Linked DNA regions of Callithrix jacchus. The protein of the gene in region 2 interacts with the protein of the main gene of each other region in a biochemical or structural test. Links are inferred from orthologs where the notes say so. Each region holds a gene or a part of one and is shown on either strand. Other genes may lie near its edges. The genes, in order: THRA, NRIP1 and NR5A1.

Region 1 (6,378 bases), on a different chromosome or scaffold from region 2:
TTCCTTGTTCTCTCTCCCCCACCCCCAGAGCTCAGCCTCTGAACAGAGATGCAGTGACGCCCAAAGATTTATGCACGTGTCCCTAGCTGAAGGGGTGTGTCCCAGGCTGAGGGGCCAACAGATCCTTTTAAGCTGAAGGGTGAGGGGCAAAGGAGGATGGGGCAGAGGGGGCCTCCTTTGGCCTCTTTCTCATACACTCCAGGTTGCAAAAATTTGTCTGGGAGGAAACGATTACAAGAGGGTGAGAAGGCTGGAAATTAGTGACCCACTGCCTCAGGCCCTAGTCTCACTGAAGTCTAGAAGAGTCAATTCTCCATCAAGCTTCTCTAAGAAACCTGGGAGACCCCAGGCCCCACAGCCTTCCTTCTTTCTTTCTTTTTTTTTTTTTTGAGACAGTCTCACTCTGTCACCCAGGCTGGAGTGCAATGGTGTGGTCTTGGCTCACTGCAATCTCCGCCTCCCAGGTTCAGGCAATTCTCTGGCCTCAGCCTCCTGAGTAGCTGGGACTACAGGTGCATGCCACCACACCCAGCTAATTTTTTTTTTTTTTAGTAGAGATGGGGTTTCACTATGTTGGCCAGGCTGGTCTTGAACTCCTGACCTTGTGATCTGCCCATCTTGGCCTCTAACAGTACTGGGATTATAGCCATGAGTCACCACACCCGGCCTCAGGCCCACAGCTTTCTTCATCCATCACAACAGCTCACACAATACAGTTTGTTATTAACTAGGCACTTTTTAAAGCATTTTTCCTCAAAAAAGCTAAATGAGGTAGACATGATCATCCCCAATTTACAGATAAGGCAACGGGGAAGTTAAATGTCTTGCTCAAAGTCACACATCCAGTGAGTGAGAGCTGGGATTCAGACCCAAGCATTCCATCATCATCACCATCATCATCCCTATTCCTAACTGTGATGGCATATCACCTGCTTGAGGGATAATGCCTTGTTCTTTAATCCAGCGACGTGTTCCCTGAGACCAAGCTTTGGTCTTTGCCCCGAGGGCTCTGTCAGTGCCTCCACCTCCAAATAGGCCAAGGCTAGAGGGAGCATGGCCAGAAGTGCTTGGTGCCCCCGGGCCCTGTGCCTCCTACCCGAGTTCCTCCTCGTCAAATGCCCTCTCCGGAAGAGGTTCCCCTTCTAGGCTGGAACCTGCACTCATGGGTGGGAGGGCCTCGCTCAGCCCACACTTAGTCTGGGCAGCTGTGCCCTCAGAACCAGGCCCTGAGGCTGGGAAAAGAGGACACAGCTGTTGGGCATCTCTGAGGTGCGCCTCAGCTGCCAGGGGTGTGGAGAAAGGTCACTGTGAGCCCTGCCACGGACCCAACTCAGGAGGGTCCTGCCAGCTCCTGCCACTGCCCATGGGGTGGTTCTTTTCCAGCTTGGGCCAGTGTCTGGGGAGCCTTGTCACTGACTTGTTTAGGAGCTGCTAGCTGGCTGCAGCCTGCATCCTGAGGGTGCCCACAGAACTGGTCTGGCTGCCCGAGGGGCAGCATGGGCAGTGGCTGTCCCCCCTCCCTTTCCCCATTCCCAGTCCCTAAAACTTGCTGGCCACAGCTGCAGCAGTAAGGAAGTGCAGGAAGTCCTGAGCAGCCAGCTGAGCCCACCCCCCTGGCCCCCCACACCAACCTTAAGCTGACCCCAGAGGCTGCCTGGTGTAGCGGGTGGGGGGGTGGGGGGGCAGAGGGGCGGAGATTGGGTATTAACAACGGGAAAAGTATGAAGAACATCACTGCCAGTCCCCAGCTCTGAGACAAGGACAGGGGTAGACAGGGGTAGCGACAGGATGAGAGAGAGTTACAGACTGGCAGAGAAGGGGAGAGAGAAAGAGAGAGAGAGAGAGAGAATCAGACACTGCAAGACAGAGCAACAGAAAGAGAGAGTTAGAGAGAAATTCCAAGTCAAAAATACACATCACTCATGCAGACAGTCGCCAGCCGATGGCCTCTTAAGGAAAGCTTCCAAGTTTGGGTAGCAGGGTCCAGGTGACAAGAGGGGCGGCCAGACTCAAGGTGGGATGCAGGAACTCAGCTGGGGGTGACTGAGTGTTCCCAGGAAAGGCCCGGGCAAATGACTCAGAGCATGGGCAGTTTGATATCCCTGAGCTTTTCGGGATGAGTGCAGCTCTCCCCTCACCCAGAAGTCAAGAGAATCCCAGCTTCTAGAAGTCCCTGGACATGCTCTGAGCCCCATACTCGGCCTTCTGGAACCCCCCTGCACCCTCCGTCTTTGCTCTTGTTTCTCTGACCCTCCAAAAGAAAATAAAAGTAAAAAAAAAGCCCATTCCCACAGAGTGGCTGGGCCTAGAGGAAGAAGGCAGGAAGAAGCTGAAAGGGAAAAGTCTGTGATTGTGTGCATCTAGGTGTGTGCTTGGCTGCACAGGCTACAGTTGTGTGCATCTGGAATTATGTGGACACGACTGTTTGTGTGGACCTGGGCCCTGTGAACTCATTCTGTACCTGAGTTCAGGGGCCCATGTGCAAATGAGTGCACCTGTGTCCGCAGGTTCCACAGTCAATCAACTAACAAGTAGTTACAAAGCAGCCATTGTGCTAGGCTCTGGGTGCGATCCGGAGCTCTTCAAATGATTCTCCCAGGTCTCCAAGAGCTCACTGTCTAGTAGGGTTGGTATGTCAAGCAACAGAGACCAAAAACATGTCATCGGGAATGCATGCTTTGCACCATTACGCAGCAACACCTTTTCATACAGCCAAATTTAATTTTCTTGGGAGCAAGGGTTTTCTTGTCTACAGAACCTCAGAGCTCCACAGTAAGAGTCCAGGAAAATACTTGTTGCTAAGTTGTGTATACATGTGTTGATGTATAACTGTGTTTGCATCTGACTGAGTGACAGCTACTGTCACGGCAAGCAATGATGACTGTGTGACTGGGCTTATGTGAGCACGTGTGTGCCTGTGAGTGACAGGGTCTTTTGTAATTGTGCGGCTGTGTGCAATTGCTCTGTGTGCATGCATGCATGTGACAGTGACTTTTTCTGTGTGGGTGACAGCAACTCCTCCTTGCCCGTGTGTGACAGCCTCTCCGTGTGACCCTGTGCGTAGGTATGTGCCATGGGTCGGTCTCCATGCTTTTGGTCTCCCGTGGGTATGTCCCACCCCCTGAGCTCCAGGGTGCAGCAGCAGCCTGCCTCTTCCCTTGTCCCCATGTGGGTGTGTCCAGCAGCTCCTGTCCTTGAGTCCGCCTGGGTGTCCCTGGGTATGCCTGTGGCTGTCTGTGTGGACATATCTCTGTGTCTGCGTGTCACTTTTGCTTTCCCCCCATCTTGGACAACAGCCCCCTTCATCCCCTCCCCCTCTTGGAGATGAAGCCAGCACTGAGGGGCAGGCTCCCATCTCACTGGCTTTCCTTCTGTGTCCCCCACCCCCACCTCTGGACCGGTGGCTCTTTCAATTGCCCCTGTCATCCCCCCAGGCCTTTCTTTCACGCTGGGCAAGGGAGGGCCCCAGATGGAGAAGGGGAACCAGAGACACGTTGCAAGGGGAGGGAAAAAGGTGGGGTACACACACACAGGTCCATTTCTCCCTCTCCTCCCCAGCCAGCAACTCTCCTAATCATCTAGGCACCATCAAGTGCACCCCCTCCACACACACATTCCCCCCAGCAGCAGCGTTTTTGCAATTAGAGTGTTGCAACCAGACAGCCATGCTCCACTGGAAGGCGGGTGAAGGGGGGTAACTTCCCTCTCCCTGGACCCATGCAAGCCCACCCCCGCCACCGCACTCATACTGCCCTCCGCAGCTGGAGGCAGCTTTGCAAAGGCTACTCGGCCTCAAAGGCTAGGGGTGGGGGCTGGGGGGGGCAGGCCTCCGACGCACCGTAAACAAACCGCGGAGCGGCGGGCGGGGGAGCTCCGGCGGCCGGCAACGGGGCTTGGCCCGGGAATGCGCAGCAGGCTGGCCGGACAGAGGCCGGGCGGGACGTCGAGGGGGAGGCCCGGACGCCATCTCCGCCTGCAAACCCCCGGGCCCACCGACCTCCAAGCAACACCTCCCTTCCCCAGGGCGTCAGCTGCAAGCTCCTGGGCTCGTGACAGGGTCACTGGGGCGCCGGGAAAGGCTGAGGCTGACAGCGGGTACGCCCTGGGCGACCCTGGCCCGCCTGGGAGCTGGCCACGGAGCCCCGCGGCTTTGCATAATCAATCGCGAGGCATTTGCATATTAATGCCCCCTCGCTCCCTCCTCCTTACCTCGGCGTGGCGCGCTGGACCGGGCTGGGCAGCGACGCGGGGGTCTCAGCGCCCAGTGCCGTGGGCGTCCATGGGGGGCCGGTGGGGCCCGGGCCGCCCGCCTCCTGCGCCCGGGTGTGAGTGCGAGTGAACGCGGGGGGGGGGCGGGGGGCGAGTGTGGCGGCCCCGCGGCTCCTCCGGCAGAGGCGGCGGCCGCTCTGGCTCCTCCCTCCCCCGCCCCGCTCCGGCTGGGGCTCGGGCTCCGCGCGCCCGGCCGGCTCGCGGCTGCTCCCTGCAGGCCGCCTCGCCACCGCCCGCCCCCGCCCCCCGCCCCCTGCCGCGCCCCGGGACCCCCGCCAGCGGCCCGGCAGCCCCTCGGCCGCCCCTGCCCCGCCCCGCTCGGACTCACCCTCCCCCGCCGGGCGGCTCCCGCAGGAGTGGGTACTTGGTGACATATTTTGGAAGAGATGTCATTAAAAAATAGCCTTTGCTTGCCGGGAGAATTGGGGGTTTTCGGGTTTGCACCATGGGGTGGGGAAGAAAGTACCGAGGAGCCGCCTGCACCTTACACATGAGGAGAAAGCCTAAACACCAAACGCTTGCAGGTGTAGAGTTTGTTTAGGAGTTCGGGTCCCTTCTCCGCCAGTAACTCACTGTGTGACCTTGACAAACCACCACTGCTGTCGGGGCAGAGCTTCCTCAAGCTTCAGCCGCGAAGGCTGGGCAGATCACCCCTGACGTCCTTTTAACTTCAATCATCCTGTGTTTTTAATCCTTGTGTGGGCTCAGTACCTCCCTCCCCTCTCATTTCTAACATCGATACCGATCCACTGCCTCCCCTTTCCAACATCACCCTTCTCCATATAGGCTCTTTCTATTCTCTGTCACCAGCCATTTCCCCAACAATCTGCTCCCTCTCCTCACCTCGGGGAGGGGACAAGATTTGCCATACCCCCTCAATTCCTAGCTCCTGGGTGGTGGTATTTCCCCCCGTGTTTGCTCCCACCAAAATCCAAATGGTACCAGAGTCAATCTAAGGAAGCCGGTGGGCTGCATACAAATGGACCCCCTAATCCAACCCAAAGGAGAGGTTTCCACTGTGCCAGCCCCACCCCCAGCACACATACACACACACGCAACACACACACACACAACACACACACACACACGCATCTGCAATTCATGGACATAAAACCAACCCAGTGACGCCAGAGCCCCTTTCATCTCGGGATCTCCCAGTTCCAGGCCAAGCCCTAATTACCCCAGCACGCCCCTGGCCCCGCCGGTTCCCCTGCTGTCATTAGCCCAGTTTTACCAGTGGGGGCCACAGCCTTCCCACGGCTCTCAGGGTGGGGCCCTGCTACACAGTCTGCTCTTGGAGAGGGGTGTGTGTTTGTGTGTGAGCGTGTGTGTCAGGGGGAGCTGCTCAGCTACTGGCCCAGGTTATACTGGATAGAATCACTTGCCGAGTGTGGGATCCTGACCCACAGCTTATCCAAGCTGGGCTGCCCTTGCTCATGTCTCAGTCTCAGCCTCCTGCATCCTCAGTGCTGTTGGAGCCACTTCTTTCACAGGGGATACTGGAGTTTGTAATGCTTGGCGGAGGGGAGGGTACCTCTCTGGGGGTCCCTGGAACCATGGAGATGAGAAAAGCAGCTGGGATGAAATCTATGGCATGCAGAGTGCAGCGGTGGTGTTGAGGGCATTGCCATAGGTGAAGGGAGCCTGTGAGGTGCAGTGGCAGCTAGAAGGGGGAGTTGAGGCAGCAGCGTGCAGTGTCTCCACGAGGTAAGCGAACCTGTGTTCAGTCTGGGCTCACGGGAGACAAGCAACAGCTGCAGTGTGGGGCAGGAGGCTGCAGCGTGCAGAGTCAGTGCAGTGAGCAGAATGAGGTGCACTGAGGGTGGCTGCCTGCCGGTGGGTGCCACCTCCTCGGTGATCAGGTTTGGCCGAAACCCTGGGGTGCACGGCTACAGTGTATAGTGCTTGGGGTCTGTGCTCTACCCTGTGTGGAACTAGTCCGTTGGGATTGGGCTGCTTAAGGAGCTGGGAGGGAATCCTGATGCATGAGATACATTTATACTCTGCATCACAAAGACAGAACTAGGAGGCAGTGGGGAGGGCCAGCAGTCATCTGGATTGGGGCTGGAGTGATGGAGTCCAGAGGCGGAGGAGGAAGGTGCTGTGGTT
Region 2 (6,428 bases):
CATAGCGAAATATGGGCTCAATACTTCTAAATGCATATTTTTGTTTTCTCACACCTGTCTACAGTTAAACAGTCTATGTCTTTTCCTGAGAACCCCTTTTCCCACTTTGCTTACTTGGCTAATTCTTTTAACCTTTTCATAGCCAATGGAAGCATTATTTTCTCAGCAAAATGTTCTCTGAACTCCCTTACATCACAGCCAGGACCCCAAGAGAAAGACATATTCTGTCCTCTGGAATATGATGGTATGTTGGCCAATATCTACTGAATGTCTACATGTTTACTGGGCATGGGGACAGGTAGCTGTAAGTCCCCAAATGTGAACGAGAGGGATGTGGACCCTGTGCCTATACTGCTTGCATTCTACAGTGGAATACAGACAAGCAAATACCCACTCACAAAATGGTTTCAAAAAATGCTATACAGGAGAGATTTAGAGAACACACCAAAGGCATACCCCTCCAAGGCTACATCTTTGTGGTAGATAGGCCTACTGAGACTGAACTATAAGCATGTGATCCCACAGGAACCCTGGGCGTAAAACAATAATTAGGCGTTTGAGTATATAAACCGAACAGCGTTGTTTTCACATCGCAAATGGTTCAAATGAGAATTGACTTCGGAGTACAAATTACCAAATAGACATTCTTATATTACATATATGCCCTAGTATCCTTGCAATGACTCTGTTACCCGGGAAATTTAGGTATTGATTTATTTAAAAAAAAAAAAAAAAAAGACAACAAAACAAAATAGTCTCCACATAATTAGCATGATTAAGTGAAAATGAATTCCACAAGAGGTGTGCAATTTACTTAACACCCATGCACTATCAAAAGAGTTCAGGATTTCAAGGACTGGGTTTCTGTGTGATTGAGAAAACATAATAATAATAAGTGAGGCGCTTTGGGCAGTCATCTAACATACAGCAGTGGACTTTTTAACACCAGTGCTGGAGGGCTGGAAAATTCTCGGCTTGTTGGGCAACCGCTGTGGTTCAAAACCTGGTTAAGAAGTAAGAAGAATGCATTTAAAAGCTACACTTGAGTAGTCCAAATATCTTTCCTAAAGTCTATGCACTAACGTGTGTTGCACCTTACTCCTCGGTGAGCCCATCAGTCCCTCACCCAGAACCTATTAAGTTTACTTTAGACAGAATTGTGACAAGTGAAGCTATCTGGATTCCCAGTCCGCACTAGAATGGAAGTTACCAATCAGAAGATGAGAAGAATGTTAGTGGCAGCTATGCTGGTAACAGCAAGGACAACAGATTTTTAGTTAGTGAAGGGGGAGAGAGAGAAATTACAAAAGGCAGAGATAATCACTAAGTCATAGCATCCTAGAGTCCTTCTGTGTAAAGACTAATAGCTTTTGTACCTCCTGGGAGCATCCCTAACACCTAGGAAGAATATAGAATAGGAACTTGACGTATTTCCTGAATCCACTACAACCTACTACATAATCACTTTTAATAAAATTGACATTGAATTGTCAAGAAAATGCTAAATGACGTTCAATAAACTGCTTAAGAGAAACATTTGAAAGACAATACAGAAAAATCTTTGTATAATGGTTAAAAATAATTTTCACAAAAAAAGTTTGACTCCCACTAAGGGGCCAAGCTCCAATTATGCTGGTCATCATTGAATTGGAATGGTTTGCTTTGTATCAGTTCTGAATAAATGATGCACTAAAGAACAGCAGCCTTTACTAAGTTGCCTAGAGCAGATTTTGCACTGTGGTATATGCAAATAATATGCTATTATATGAGGTTTAACTATATAAAATGGCAACAGATTGCATCGTTGAATCACTGGGGTGATGTAAAATAATTGTTTTAATATGTGCCATTGCCACTAAGCAAAACATTGGAACCATGTGCCCGGCACTGTGCTAGATGCTGAATTTATTAAGCATTAATTTGAAAATTTGCTTTCACTTTCAAGACTATGACAGTATTTTAAAACTCGTATTCACATTTTTAAAGGCTAAGTGAAATTTGAAATACACAATACAGCCGTTACATAACAGGCATAAGAATACAGTTTTATGACTTGGATAGTTTTTGTTTTTTAAGCGCATTAGCAACTCCATTTCCAAATGCTATCAAATTCTTCAGGATATGAAAGCCTACATATAAGAATGGAGTGCCTCAGCGGCTCATTTGCCTTATGTAATAAGTGCTTTAACACAGGCATGCCATTTCAGAATTTCGGATGAGACTACGCTGTACTTTTAGCTTTTTTGTGTCAAGCAAAAACAATTTCAGCAACAACACTCCTTTCCCCTGGTAAATTTTTTCATGCTTATTACTAAATGCTAGATGCTCAAGTCACAAAGAAACCTGACATCTGGGGAGGTGTTGAGGGGGTGTTAATAGTTCTCGTGAGATGCTTGGTTGGGGAGCGTTGAGGATACGATTTTTAAAACAGCAAATACACGGAGAAGGGGAAATTATGGTTTCGTATAACTCTCTCCTCCCTCCACTCTCTCGTTTCACCAATCTGTAGCCCCCCCAATTTAGAGGCGGGTTCAGCGAGATTAGGCTGCAGGAAACCGAAAGGCTCCACCGCGCTGCCGCCCCGGCCTCGTGATGTAATTGTCATTTCTTATTCGGAGACTGAACCGGGGAGAGCTGCCGAAGTAGCAGCCCTGCTCCTTTGCCTTGTCTCGTTGGGTCAGATCCTGCCCGGGGATGATGTAGTTTGGCTGACAGACTCCGCCGGAGACTTCGCAGTGACAAAGCAGCCGAGGATTAACCCTGCTCCTGGGTCCTACGTCTGTCCAGGGAGCTGAGCGGGGCGCTCCTCAGGTCTTCTTCCTAGTTTTCCTCCCGGAGTCGCGCCACATTGAGTGCTGCTGGGTGCCTACTACGTGCTGGGCGTGGGGTCAAAGTGACCCAGAGTTCGCGCCCGTGCCCCCCGAGATTAAAGCAGGACACACAGATGACAAGGAGGTGGAAATCGGGGGTGGGTGGGTGAGAGGGAGCCCAGGGAGCGCGTGTCGTGGGGTGAAGGGGAGGAGGTAGACGCTTAAGGCGCCAGCACCCAGGCGGGGACCCTGGGGCGTCCGGCTCCCGGGCTGTGCCCAGGCGGGAGCGATCGGCCTGGGTCCCGAGAGCGCTTCCCCGAGTGCCCGGGAGGAGCTGTCCAGGCGCCTGCGGCGGTCGGGGGCCGCTGGACAGAGCTGGGAGCCCGGGGAACGTCCCCTCTCCCGGGGACGCGGTCCTCTCGCCGCCCCGGGGCCCCGCAGCCCCGTCTGGGCCACCCCCGAGCAGGCGAGGAGGAAAACCACGAACCAGAGGGGGCTTCCCGACTCCTGAGAGCGGCCCGCATCCGCGCGGCTTCCTCCCGACCGGGTGACAATGGGAGGGAGGGGGAGAAAAGGGTTAAGAAACTTGGCTGAAGAGCTGAATGGCGTGGGGCGGCGAGGGGAGGGACTGGGCCGCGGCGGACTCGGCGGCGGAGGGAGGAGCGCGGCTGCGGGCGGGCGGCGAGCGAGGCGCTCAAAGTCAGCCTCGCAGACATTGCAGCAGAGCCCCGAACTCGGGAGGCGGCGGCGGAGGAGGTGGAGGAGGCGCGGCGAGGCGCAGGGACGACCCGGCCCCACGCCCGCCCGCCACCCGCGCGCGCCCGTCCGCCCGTGGCCTCGCGTCCGCCGCTGCGCAGGGAGCGCCGCTGGTCGGAGGGAAGAGCTCGCCGGGGCGCCGGGCCAGGACGGGGCGGCGGGCGCCTTCGCGGACCGAGCCTGACGGAGCCGGAGGCTGGGAGCCGCGGCGGCCTCGGGTGAGTGGCGGCCGCGGCCGGGGCGCTCGGAGGAGCCCGCTCTGGCCCCGCCGGAAACGGCCGGGAGTGCGGCCCGCGGAGGCGCTGGCTGGGCGGGCAGGGCCGCGGGGGCGTCGGGGCGGCGGGGAGGGTGCGTTTCCGGGGAAATCCTGCCTCCGCTCCCCGGGATCTCGCGGGGGGCCGGGGCGGCGGGGCGGCAAGTTGTGGAGTGGCCCCGGGGCTGCCCGCCAGTCCGTGCCAGTGCTGGGCGAGGGGGCGGCCGCCGCGTGGCCCCTGCGCGGGAGCTCGCGGGGCCGGATCGGGGTTGCGCCCGGCTCGCCTGCCCTCTCGGCCCCGAGCCCCGGGCACCGCTCGCCGCGTCGCTCTCGGTCCTGCTGTCCAGCCGGATCCGGGGCGGCGCCTTTCGCCCGGGTGCTTCCCTGCTCGGTGCTCGCGGGATACCCGGCTGGGAAAGTGAATGGGAACCGGGACTGCTCGTCCGGCCCCCACCCGACCCCAGGCCCGCTCTGCCCGCACTCGTTGTCCCCTCCTGAGAGCGAGGCTCACGGACCCGAGGCCTCAGCCACCGTTTTACCCGGAGCCGGGGGCCGGCTCCCATTTAGGCTGAGCCCTGTGGAAGTCCGGGGAGGCTGCCTTTTCTCCCTTCTTCTGTGTCCACGTTACCGCTATTGAATATTGTTTTACGAAGGTTCCCATGGTCATCTTCTGCACACCCTCCCAGCCCTTCCAAAGTAGTTTCCCAGTTTTAATCAGGAGTTGGTGTTCAGTCTGAAGGAACAAAGGAATCAACTGTGTCTTAGAGGCGGACAGGCTGGAGTCTGTGACACATGTTGATCTCTGAAGCATTCCAGGAGTTGCTACCTTTTAGCACGTCAGTAATTGGGTTCTGAAGGTAGTAAAAGAAGAAAGGAATGATAAGCACTTTTTCGTTTTAAAAATATTCTGTAATGGCACATTTTACTTCGGGGGGAAAAAGAAGACGTTTTTAGGTACAAGGATTTTTAAGAACTCAATTGGTGGAACTGAGTTAGAGTTTGTCTCTGGTATTGTAAATGATTACATGTGGGATTGTGAAGGAAATTGTGTCCTTAGAGGCAGAGAAGCCATCTGTAGGTGTCCACAGTAAAAATGGTTGTCGGGTTATATATGATGAATGCTCTTTCTATTTCTTGGGGGAATTTGTGAAGCAAGGGGCTTCGGTAATTCATTCTTTAAAGTTATGAATTGCATTGAACCTGCTTATTAGTGAGTCATAGGTTTAGTAAGTGGGTGGCATTATTCTATGTTTAATCATCAGTTTTCCACCTTTGTTGAAGAGATAGTGAAATAATAGACTTTTTAAACAAATGGCGCTTCATCTGCCTGGCCCCTAAGTGTCGGTTGCCGCCTGGAGTATGTTGAAATGTTTTTTAACTTCCAAGTAAGTGAGTTGCTCTGGTTTTGCCCAGCAGTTCGGTATCGTCGGTAGGGTTTATCTGGTTCAGGGAGCAGTAGCTTCATCACTTATAGTAACTTTTCTTTGCCTGGGTATAGTTCCTAGAAACAAAGAAGGAGAATCAATTAGTGGAGCAGATACTGCCCTGCAGGTCATAGGACTGGTTGCTCTATCTAGTCTGTTTCATTAGCTGGTGGAAAAGACCTCTTTCCAAACTTACCCTTAAAAGTGCCCTAGGAGTGTGAGTAAAATATACATCAAAACATAAGAAAAAAAAAATGACTGTTTGTTGTTGATTTTATTCATATGAATTAGTTGAAAATCAGATTTAATGCCTGTTTTGCGTGCTTTTCCAAACTCTGCAGAACTTGGATTTTGCGAATTTTAACATCCTAAAATATTGTTAACTTTGCAGTAATGTGTGAAGAGACCAAAGGCTTTTCTGACTCTTGCAGTTATAAGTGCAAAACATCATGATAAAAAATAACCTATACCACCACCTAGAGTCTGTTTGTTAGTTTATTGCTCATGAAGTTTGCTTAAATTGACATGTCTGTTACAGTTCTGATATAGTCGAAAATGATTAAGAAGTGCTGGCTTTCAAAAGGCCATCCAAGAGAACAATTATTTAAGTAATAAATAGCAAGAGCCAGTTTAAATTTTTCATGCCACCTTTGGAATTGAAAATTATGACATATCAAGTTGAGTGGGCTATTCTCCAAGATGTTAATTCAAAATATTTTAAAACGGAGTACTCGGCTTGTGCACCAAGGCAGTTCTGATTCCTTAACAACTTCTGTGATGTTATCAGAGATTCAAGAAATCTTCCAAATCAGATGCCGTTAGAACTTTTTAAAGTCCGAATGAAACAAAAGCAAAAATATAGGAAAGCATTACAATTACAGAAATTCTGGCAATTCAGAAGTTAAGAGGATGCAGCCTATGGCAGAGTTGTGGTTCAGAGATGTGAAAAGTAAAATCAATGTGAATTAAAGTGATAATCTGTTTTGCTGGTAGTCTGTATGTGGTAAAGCAGTCTATTAAATGAGACACCTTAGGGAGGCAGCTTTGTTGCCATGTGGCTTATCACATTGTCCATGGAGGAAGTAATGTTCTTCCTTTAAGTGGTGTAGCCTGAGAGAAAGATGGCCTCCAAGATCTTTAATTAAATACCAGTTGAACAGAAAGAACTAGAGCACTGTATTAATT
Region 3 (6,640 bases), on a different chromosome or scaffold from region 2:
CTGAGAAAAGGTGATGGGCTCAGCCGCGGGGAAGACGCCAGGGGACCCGGGAGATGTGGGGCGCCCGGCCCGGGTGTTCTGGGAACCCAACAGAGACGAAGGAAGCAGAGACAGAGTCCGGGAGAGACAGAGATAGGAGGAAACCCGGGCGAGAGACGAGGACCGACGCCGCGGGGCGCAGAGACCAGGTCAGCCCCAAAGTGCCAGAGACACAGAGACCACGAGCTGGAGAGAACCCGGCGGGGACGAGACACAGGGAGGGATGGAGAGAGACAGAGAGGCAGAGACACAGAGAGAGAGAAAGAGAAAGAGAGAGAGAGAGAGAACGAGGGGTAGGGGATCAGATCCAAGAGAGACTCCAAGAGACAGCGGAGGCCCAAAGAGAAAACCCAAGAGAGACGGACGCAGAGCCAGAGACACAGAGACAGAGACGTCGAGACAGAGACACGGAGAAAAAACCTGGAGGCGGAGGCGGCCAGCCCGAGGGTCTGGGACGCGGGACGCTCGGAAACCGGCGGGCCAGGAGCCCGAGCGCCGAGGCGAGGCCCGGCGGGGTCGGACCCGGGACGCGGACCCGGGCCGCGGGAGGCGGAAAACGACGGCGCCGGGACCGAGAGCCCGAAACGCCGAGCCGCCGGGGCCCCCGCGCCGGGGAAGACAAAGCCGCCGCAGCGACGGCAACGGGAGGCGCAGCCCGCGCTGCCGCCGCCACCGGGACGTCGGGCGGGGAGACGCGCAGGGGTCGCGAGGCGTGGAGACTTCGGGCGGTGGGCGGCGGGCTCCGGGAAGTCGAGCCCGAGGCGGGGGAGCGACCGCGGGCCGAGACCGAAGTCCCAAGGAGGGAAGCGCACGGAGCCCGGGCCCCGGACGCGAGAGGGGGCGCGACGGCGGCTGCTGCCGGCCCGGCGCCCACCTGGCCGCTCCTGCCAGCAGAGCCCCGCGTCCCTCCCGCGCGGAGCCCGCACCTCCCGGCCGCGCCGCCGCCGCCCGCGAGGAGCCGCACCCGGGCGCAGCGCCGCCAGCCCGCGGTGACTGCCGCTCGGGCCGGGGGCGGGGAGGCGGGGGCGCGGGGCTGGCGGCGGGGGGCCTCGGCTCCCCCCTCCCGCCTTCCCCCCCCCTTCAGTCTCCCTGCGCTACCCCTGCCGCCGCCGGGGCCGCTCCGAGGCGCACCTGGGACCCGGGCCCCTCCGCCGCCACCGCGCCCTGCGCCAACCCGCCGCGCCCGGGCCGGGGGCCGGCCGCTCTATATCGGCGCGTGCGGTATCCGGGGGCGGAGGCCCGGCCGCGTCCTCCCCCCGAGCCCGGCCCGCGCCCGGCACCCCCTCCGCAGCCCGGCTCGAGTCTTCGCCCTCATCCTCCCGCCCCCCCCCCCCCCAGCCCCAGCCGGTCTCCCCGGACCTCGAGAGCCACCAGAGAGCGGCGGAGCCCGAGCGCCCCGCGATCTGGGCAGGTGTCGGGCGCCGGGTGCCTCCGGCCACCCGCCAGCGGTGGGAGGAGGCAGCTCCTGTCTGCGAACCCAGCTGGGTCGTGGCGAGGGCCACGAGGGTGACCGGTCGCGGTGCAGCGTGGAAGTGGGTAAGAGCGAGTAGCGACCGTGGCCGAGGCACGAGTTCACGGGTGGAAGCCAGATTCTCCTATTGGCCCCGCCACGTCTCCTCACTCGAGCCTGCAGTAGCACTCTCCCCGCCTCGAGTCTTCAGGGACCGCATCTGTGAAGTGGGTAGATGACTGCTCTACCTTGCTAAGGGCAGGTCGTGAGGACCAACCAAAGCCTTGGGGAGAAGCAAGCGCGTGGCCTGGTGGAAGCGCTCAGGGGCGCCCCGCTGGGGAGATCTGAGGCGAACCCCTTCTCCTCGCCAGCCTCAGTTCGCTGGGCTGGAAATGGGAATCGTGGATTGAAATGCCATTTTACGAATGTCCGAGGCCTAGGGAGGGCCCGAAGCCTCTACTGGCCCAGGAGCCCAGAGGCAGGACCCCGCTGCTCCCCTCGGAGCTCTCACAGCGGGGTGGGGCGGGAAGAAAGCGCTGGGCGGCCTTGGGCACAAAGGGGTTCCCTGGCCAAGGGCCGAGCAGTTGCTCTGGGCTGGGGACCATGGCGGGGCCACTGTTTTTCATTTGGAGAAACTGACCCAAGAGGAAGCGGCTTGCTCGCATCCCGCCCCCGCCCCCGCCGGCACCTGGGGCCGGAGAGAGTTTGGGGACCATGAGGCCAAAAAGCCGCGATCTTCCAGCAGGAAAATGCCGAAATTTTACACTGACAGCGGTGCAACCCACCAAAGGGCCCCATGGGCTCCCTGCCCGCCTCGAGGCCCCAGGCTTCGGTCACAGCTGGGCCTGGGGACTGTGAGCTGCAGCCAGAGACCCCTGCAAACCCCACTCAGCTTGCCCACCCCACAGTGGAGGAGCAGAACCCGCAGACTTGCTGTGCAAGCTGGGGCAAGTCACTTGGTCTCTCTGAGCCTCAGTTTCTCCATGCATAAAGTGGAAAGTGTTGGCCCTACAGATGGAGTACTGCGGTTTCAGTGCAAGAATCTTGGGGAGGAGGGAGGAAAGAGAGCCAGAGACCCTGTAAATGGCACCCCACACCCCCAAACCGCTGAGAAACAAGAGCATCTGCCGGAGCTGGAGGTGGGGGTCACGGCTGCCTCTGAACAGCTCCTCAACACAGTGGAGCCCTCAGATAGTGACTCGGGAGCTAAGGGGGTTGGGGGCATGAGGGGCTGGGGTGCCCCAGTCAGCTGTTCTAAGGTAGAGCCCATAGAAGTCTCCGGGAAGCCTGGCGCTGGACACACAGGCCTGAGCCGGCCGGGTGGGTGGGGGCTGGGCTCTGAGGCCCTTCTCCCTCTATCTCCAACTCCCTCTCCCCCAAGGTTTCCACTCTCACCGGCTAGGAGCTCCTGGCTCCTCCGCACTCCAGGCACCCAGGCACCCAGGCACCCACTCCCACAGCCCCAGGTTCCAGCCCCTCACGCACCCACCCAGGGAAGCAAAGCTAGACCTGGCCCAGTCACAGAACCCAGGCTGACAGATGGACGCCAGAGACAGGCACACAGATACACACCAAGACTCAGAGACAGCGACAGAGACAACACAGACACGCAGGCAAGGGACAGAACCCCAAGACAGGCCCAGAGCCCTCCAGACACACTCACAGACCTCTAGGCTCAGACTCACACAGCCTGGTGGACGCCCGGCAAGCGACAGCGGACACCAGCAGACCTCCGTGGGGCTTGCGGTCACAGGCCTGGCTCCTCCCCTCAGCAGCCCAAGGAAGAAAAGGGGGTAGCATGCTGGGAGGGTGAGTCTGGGAGACCCCTGGCCCCTTCCCTGCCCAGAGCAGGGGCACCGGTCACTTAGCAGAGCAGGCGGTGGCCGGCCCAAGCTTCAGGGAGGCACTGCAGAAGGAGGCTGGCCATTAGAGGCCTGGGCCCAGGCCCTCACTTACGGAGCGGAAGCAGCGCTCTCACGCCGGATGAGGGTGGCAGTGGGCACCGGGGGTCCAGGGGGAGGCTCCGGCAGCCCAGGTGGGGCGGTGGCGACCGTGGGCGCACAGGAATCCCGTCACACCACGGCGGGCGGCAGCCGGACGGCAGGCTGGTCCTGTCCGTCCGTCCTCCTCCTCCTCCCCGCCCTGGGGGGGGCCACCGGAGGCCCAATTGGTCTCTGCCCCCACGTGACTCTGCAGGCCTCTCGCCTTCTTTGTTGGTGTTTCTCTTCATTTACGTCTATTTTTTTCTTCTTCTCTTAATAGAAAAAAAAAAATACCCCTATCTATCTGGGGGCCGAGGGTGGGGGCGGAGGCCAAGGCACTGCGGAGGCCTTGGCCAGCTGGCTGTTCCAGGCCCGCTGTGGGAGCCCAGAGGCAGGGACCCCACGGAGGCGGGTAGGCAGCCGCGCTTGTTAGCGACCAAGTGGGAGTGGGGCCTGATTTATGGGCTGCTCCCCCATCCGGCCTGCCGCCTGGCCTCTCTCCTTGGGAATGGCTACCTCCCTGGGGCCTGGCCGGGCATGGTCTGGCCCAGCCCGGACACTGGAGTGGAGTCGGGACAGGCCAGTGGGGAGGCAAGGGCATGGCGACTCGACCAGGTGGCCTGCTGCCAAGACCTATCTTTTAACTCTTCCATCAGATGGAGGAAGAGGGGGGCTAAAAGTCGAGGAGCTGATCGGCCTGGACACCACATGCATGCATGCCACGGTGGCCTCTGACTGTCCCCATCTGCTGTGGGCTGCCGATGTTCCCATCGGTGGCTGGAAAAACTGAGGCTGAGCGGAGGACGCCTCTGGGCCAAGTGGTGGCAAGGGTGGCCCCAGGCTGAACCAAGTGTGTAGCTAGGCCAGGAGAAGACAGGGTAGAGGGAAGGGCCTTTATCTAGAAGGCTAGGCCTGTCTACAGCCTGGGATGTCCCGTCCGATCTCCAGGCCCAGATGGCTCTGAACTCTCTCCTGGTCCTGTAGGGCCCAGGCTATAGGGCCCTGTGCTGCTCCCACAGTGACTGGATCTTTCCTGCATTCCTCTGTTCATCTCACATTTGCTAAGCGTGCACTTAGGGGTCAGGTGCTGTTCTGGGCACCAGGGATCTCATAGGGAAGAGAAGTCTCTGTCCTCAGAGGATTGACCTCTCTGCCTTTCATCTTGGGAATGGGGGAAGGGCACAGGACAACTATGGGGCAGTCACTGGTGAAAACCACCCTTCCCCCCACATGCCCCTTCATTGGAGGAAATAAGCAAATCACATCCAACACCTCACTTATCTGGAACAAGAGGTGCTTTTCTGGATAAGTGAAGCCAACTATATATATATATATATATATATATTTTTTTTTTTTTTTTTTTTTTCCCCCATGGAAAGCCACTGAAAGAGTAGAAATGCCAACTGTATTTAAAACCTAGTGTGTGTTTTCTAGCTAGGCGCTGTGGCTCATGCCTGTAATCCCAGCCCTTTGGGAGGCAAAGGTGGGTGGATCACCTGACGTCAGGAGTTCGAGACCAGCCTGGTCAACATGACGAAACCCCATCGCTACTAAAAATACAAAAATTAGTTGAGCTCATGCCTGTAGTCCCAGCTACTTGGGAGGCTGAGGTGGGAGAATCACTTGAACCTGGGAGGCAGAGGTTGCAGTGAGCCAAGATCATGCCACTGCAGTCCAGCCTGGGTGACAGAGTGAGACTCTGTCTCAAATAAAAGAATAAAATAAAGTAAAACTTGGTGTATGTTTTCCTCATTATGCTACTTAAAATTGTGTGTGAATATACAACAATAATACTGATAGCCTGTAGTCCTGGATACTGGGGAGGCTGTCAGGAGAATGGCTTGAACCCAGGAGTTTGAGCTGTAGTGAGCTATGATTGTGCCACTGCACTCTAGCCTGGGCAATAGAGTTTTAATAATTAATATGGCCGAACGCAGTGGCTTATACCTATAATCCCAGCACTTTGGGAGGCCAAGGTGGGCAGATCACAAGGTCAAGAGATCGAGACCATCCTGGCCAACATGGTGAAACGCCATCTCTACTAAAAATATGAAAATTAACCAGGTGTGTTGGCATGTGCCTGTAGTCTAGCACTACATTCCAGACTCTGTCTCCAAAAAATAATAATAATCATCAATTCAATATTAATTCTATAATTTCACAGTCAAAACTGATGGAATATATTCCATCTGCAATATAAAATATAGCTTATTCCCCAATGTGTATGACCTTGTAATTATGCTTTTCACCTAAAGTTCTTACAAGATATACTTCTCTTGCACATGGTTGCACCTAGTCTCCTTGTTTTATCTTAATAGTCTTCTTTTTTGTGTCCCTATTTCGTTTTATGTCTTTTGAGACAGGGTCTCACTCTGTCACTCAGGCTGGAGTGCAGTGGTATCACAGCTCACTGCAGTCTCAACCTCCTGGGCTCAAGCGATCCTCCTGCTTCAGTCTTCGGAACAGCTGAGACTACAGCATGTGCCACCACACTTGGCTAAGTTTTGTATTTTCTTTTGTAGAGATGGGGTTTCGTTATGCAGCCCAGGCTGGTATTGAACTCCTGGGCTCAAGCAATCCGCCCACCTAGGCCTCCCAAAGTGCTGGAATTACAGGCGTGAGCCACAGCACCTGGCTTTAGTGTCCCTACTATTTTTTTTTTTTTTTTTGATATGGAGTCTCAATCTGTCACCCGGGCTGGAGTGCAGTGGTATAATTTCAGCTCACTGCAACCTCTACTTCCCGGGTTCAAGCAATTCTCCTGTCTCAGACTCCCAAGCTGGGATTACAGGCACCCACCACTGTACTGGGCTAATATTTATATTTTTAGTATAGACAGGGTTTCAACATATTGGTCATGCTGGTCTCGAACTCCTGACCTGAGGTGATCCACCTACCTCGGCCTTCCAAAGTGCCAGGATTACAGGTGTGAGCCACTGTGCCTGGCCTAGTGTCCCTATTTTAATGCAATGATTTTGTTTCTCGATTAATATCACTCACCCTCTTAATCTAATAAGAAATATCCCAGCAAATACCCATCACTAACATGTCACATACCTGTAACAACAAAATCATGATTCTTTGCACCTTGTTTGATGAGTGACTTTATGAAGTGGGGCCTGCTTTGTCTGCCTTCTTTTTCTTTGAGACAGAGTCTTGCTCTGTCGCC

Evidence for each region.
Region 1: the proteins of NRIP1 (region 2) and THRA form a complex in vitro, tested with the Homo sapiens proteins (4 studies listed by BioGRID). The link is inferred for Callithrix jacchus from reciprocal best matches to the Homo sapiens genes NRIP1 and THRA.
Region 3: the proteins of NRIP1 (region 2) and NR5A1 form a complex in vitro, tested with the Homo sapiens proteins (2 studies listed by BioGRID). The link is inferred for Callithrix jacchus from reciprocal best matches to the Homo sapiens genes NRIP1 and NR5A1.

The regions. Positions count from the first base shown.
Region 1 is NC_133506.1:71,670,294-71,676,671, reverse strand, and holds the start of THRA (thyroid hormone receptor alpha), read right to left. Parts: upstream 4,342-6,378; 5' UTR 4,210-4,341; intron 1-4,209.
Region 2 is NC_133522.1:22,076,524-22,082,951, reverse strand, and holds the start of NRIP1 (nuclear receptor-interacting protein 1), read left to right. Parts: upstream 1-2,610; 5' UTR 2,611-2,811; exon of another isoform or gene 2,812-2,955; intron 2,956-3,532; exon of another isoform or gene 3,533-3,784; intron 3,785-6,428. UniProt on the Homo sapiens protein: Modulates transcriptional activation by steroid receptors such as NR3C1, NR3C2 and ESR1. Also modulates transcriptional repression by nuclear hormone receptors.
Region 3 is NC_133502.1:173,120,179-173,126,818, forward strand, and holds the start of NR5A1 (steroidogenic factor 1), read right to left. Parts: upstream 3,629-6,640; 5' UTR 3,175-3,628; exon of another isoform or gene 3,157-3,174; intron 1,035-3,156; exon of another isoform or gene 460-1,034; intron 1-459. UniProt on the Homo sapiens protein: Transcriptional activator. Essential for sexual differentiation and formation of the primary steroidogenic tissues. Binds to the Ad4 site found in the promoter region of steroidogenic P450 genes such as CYP11A, CYP11B and CYP21B.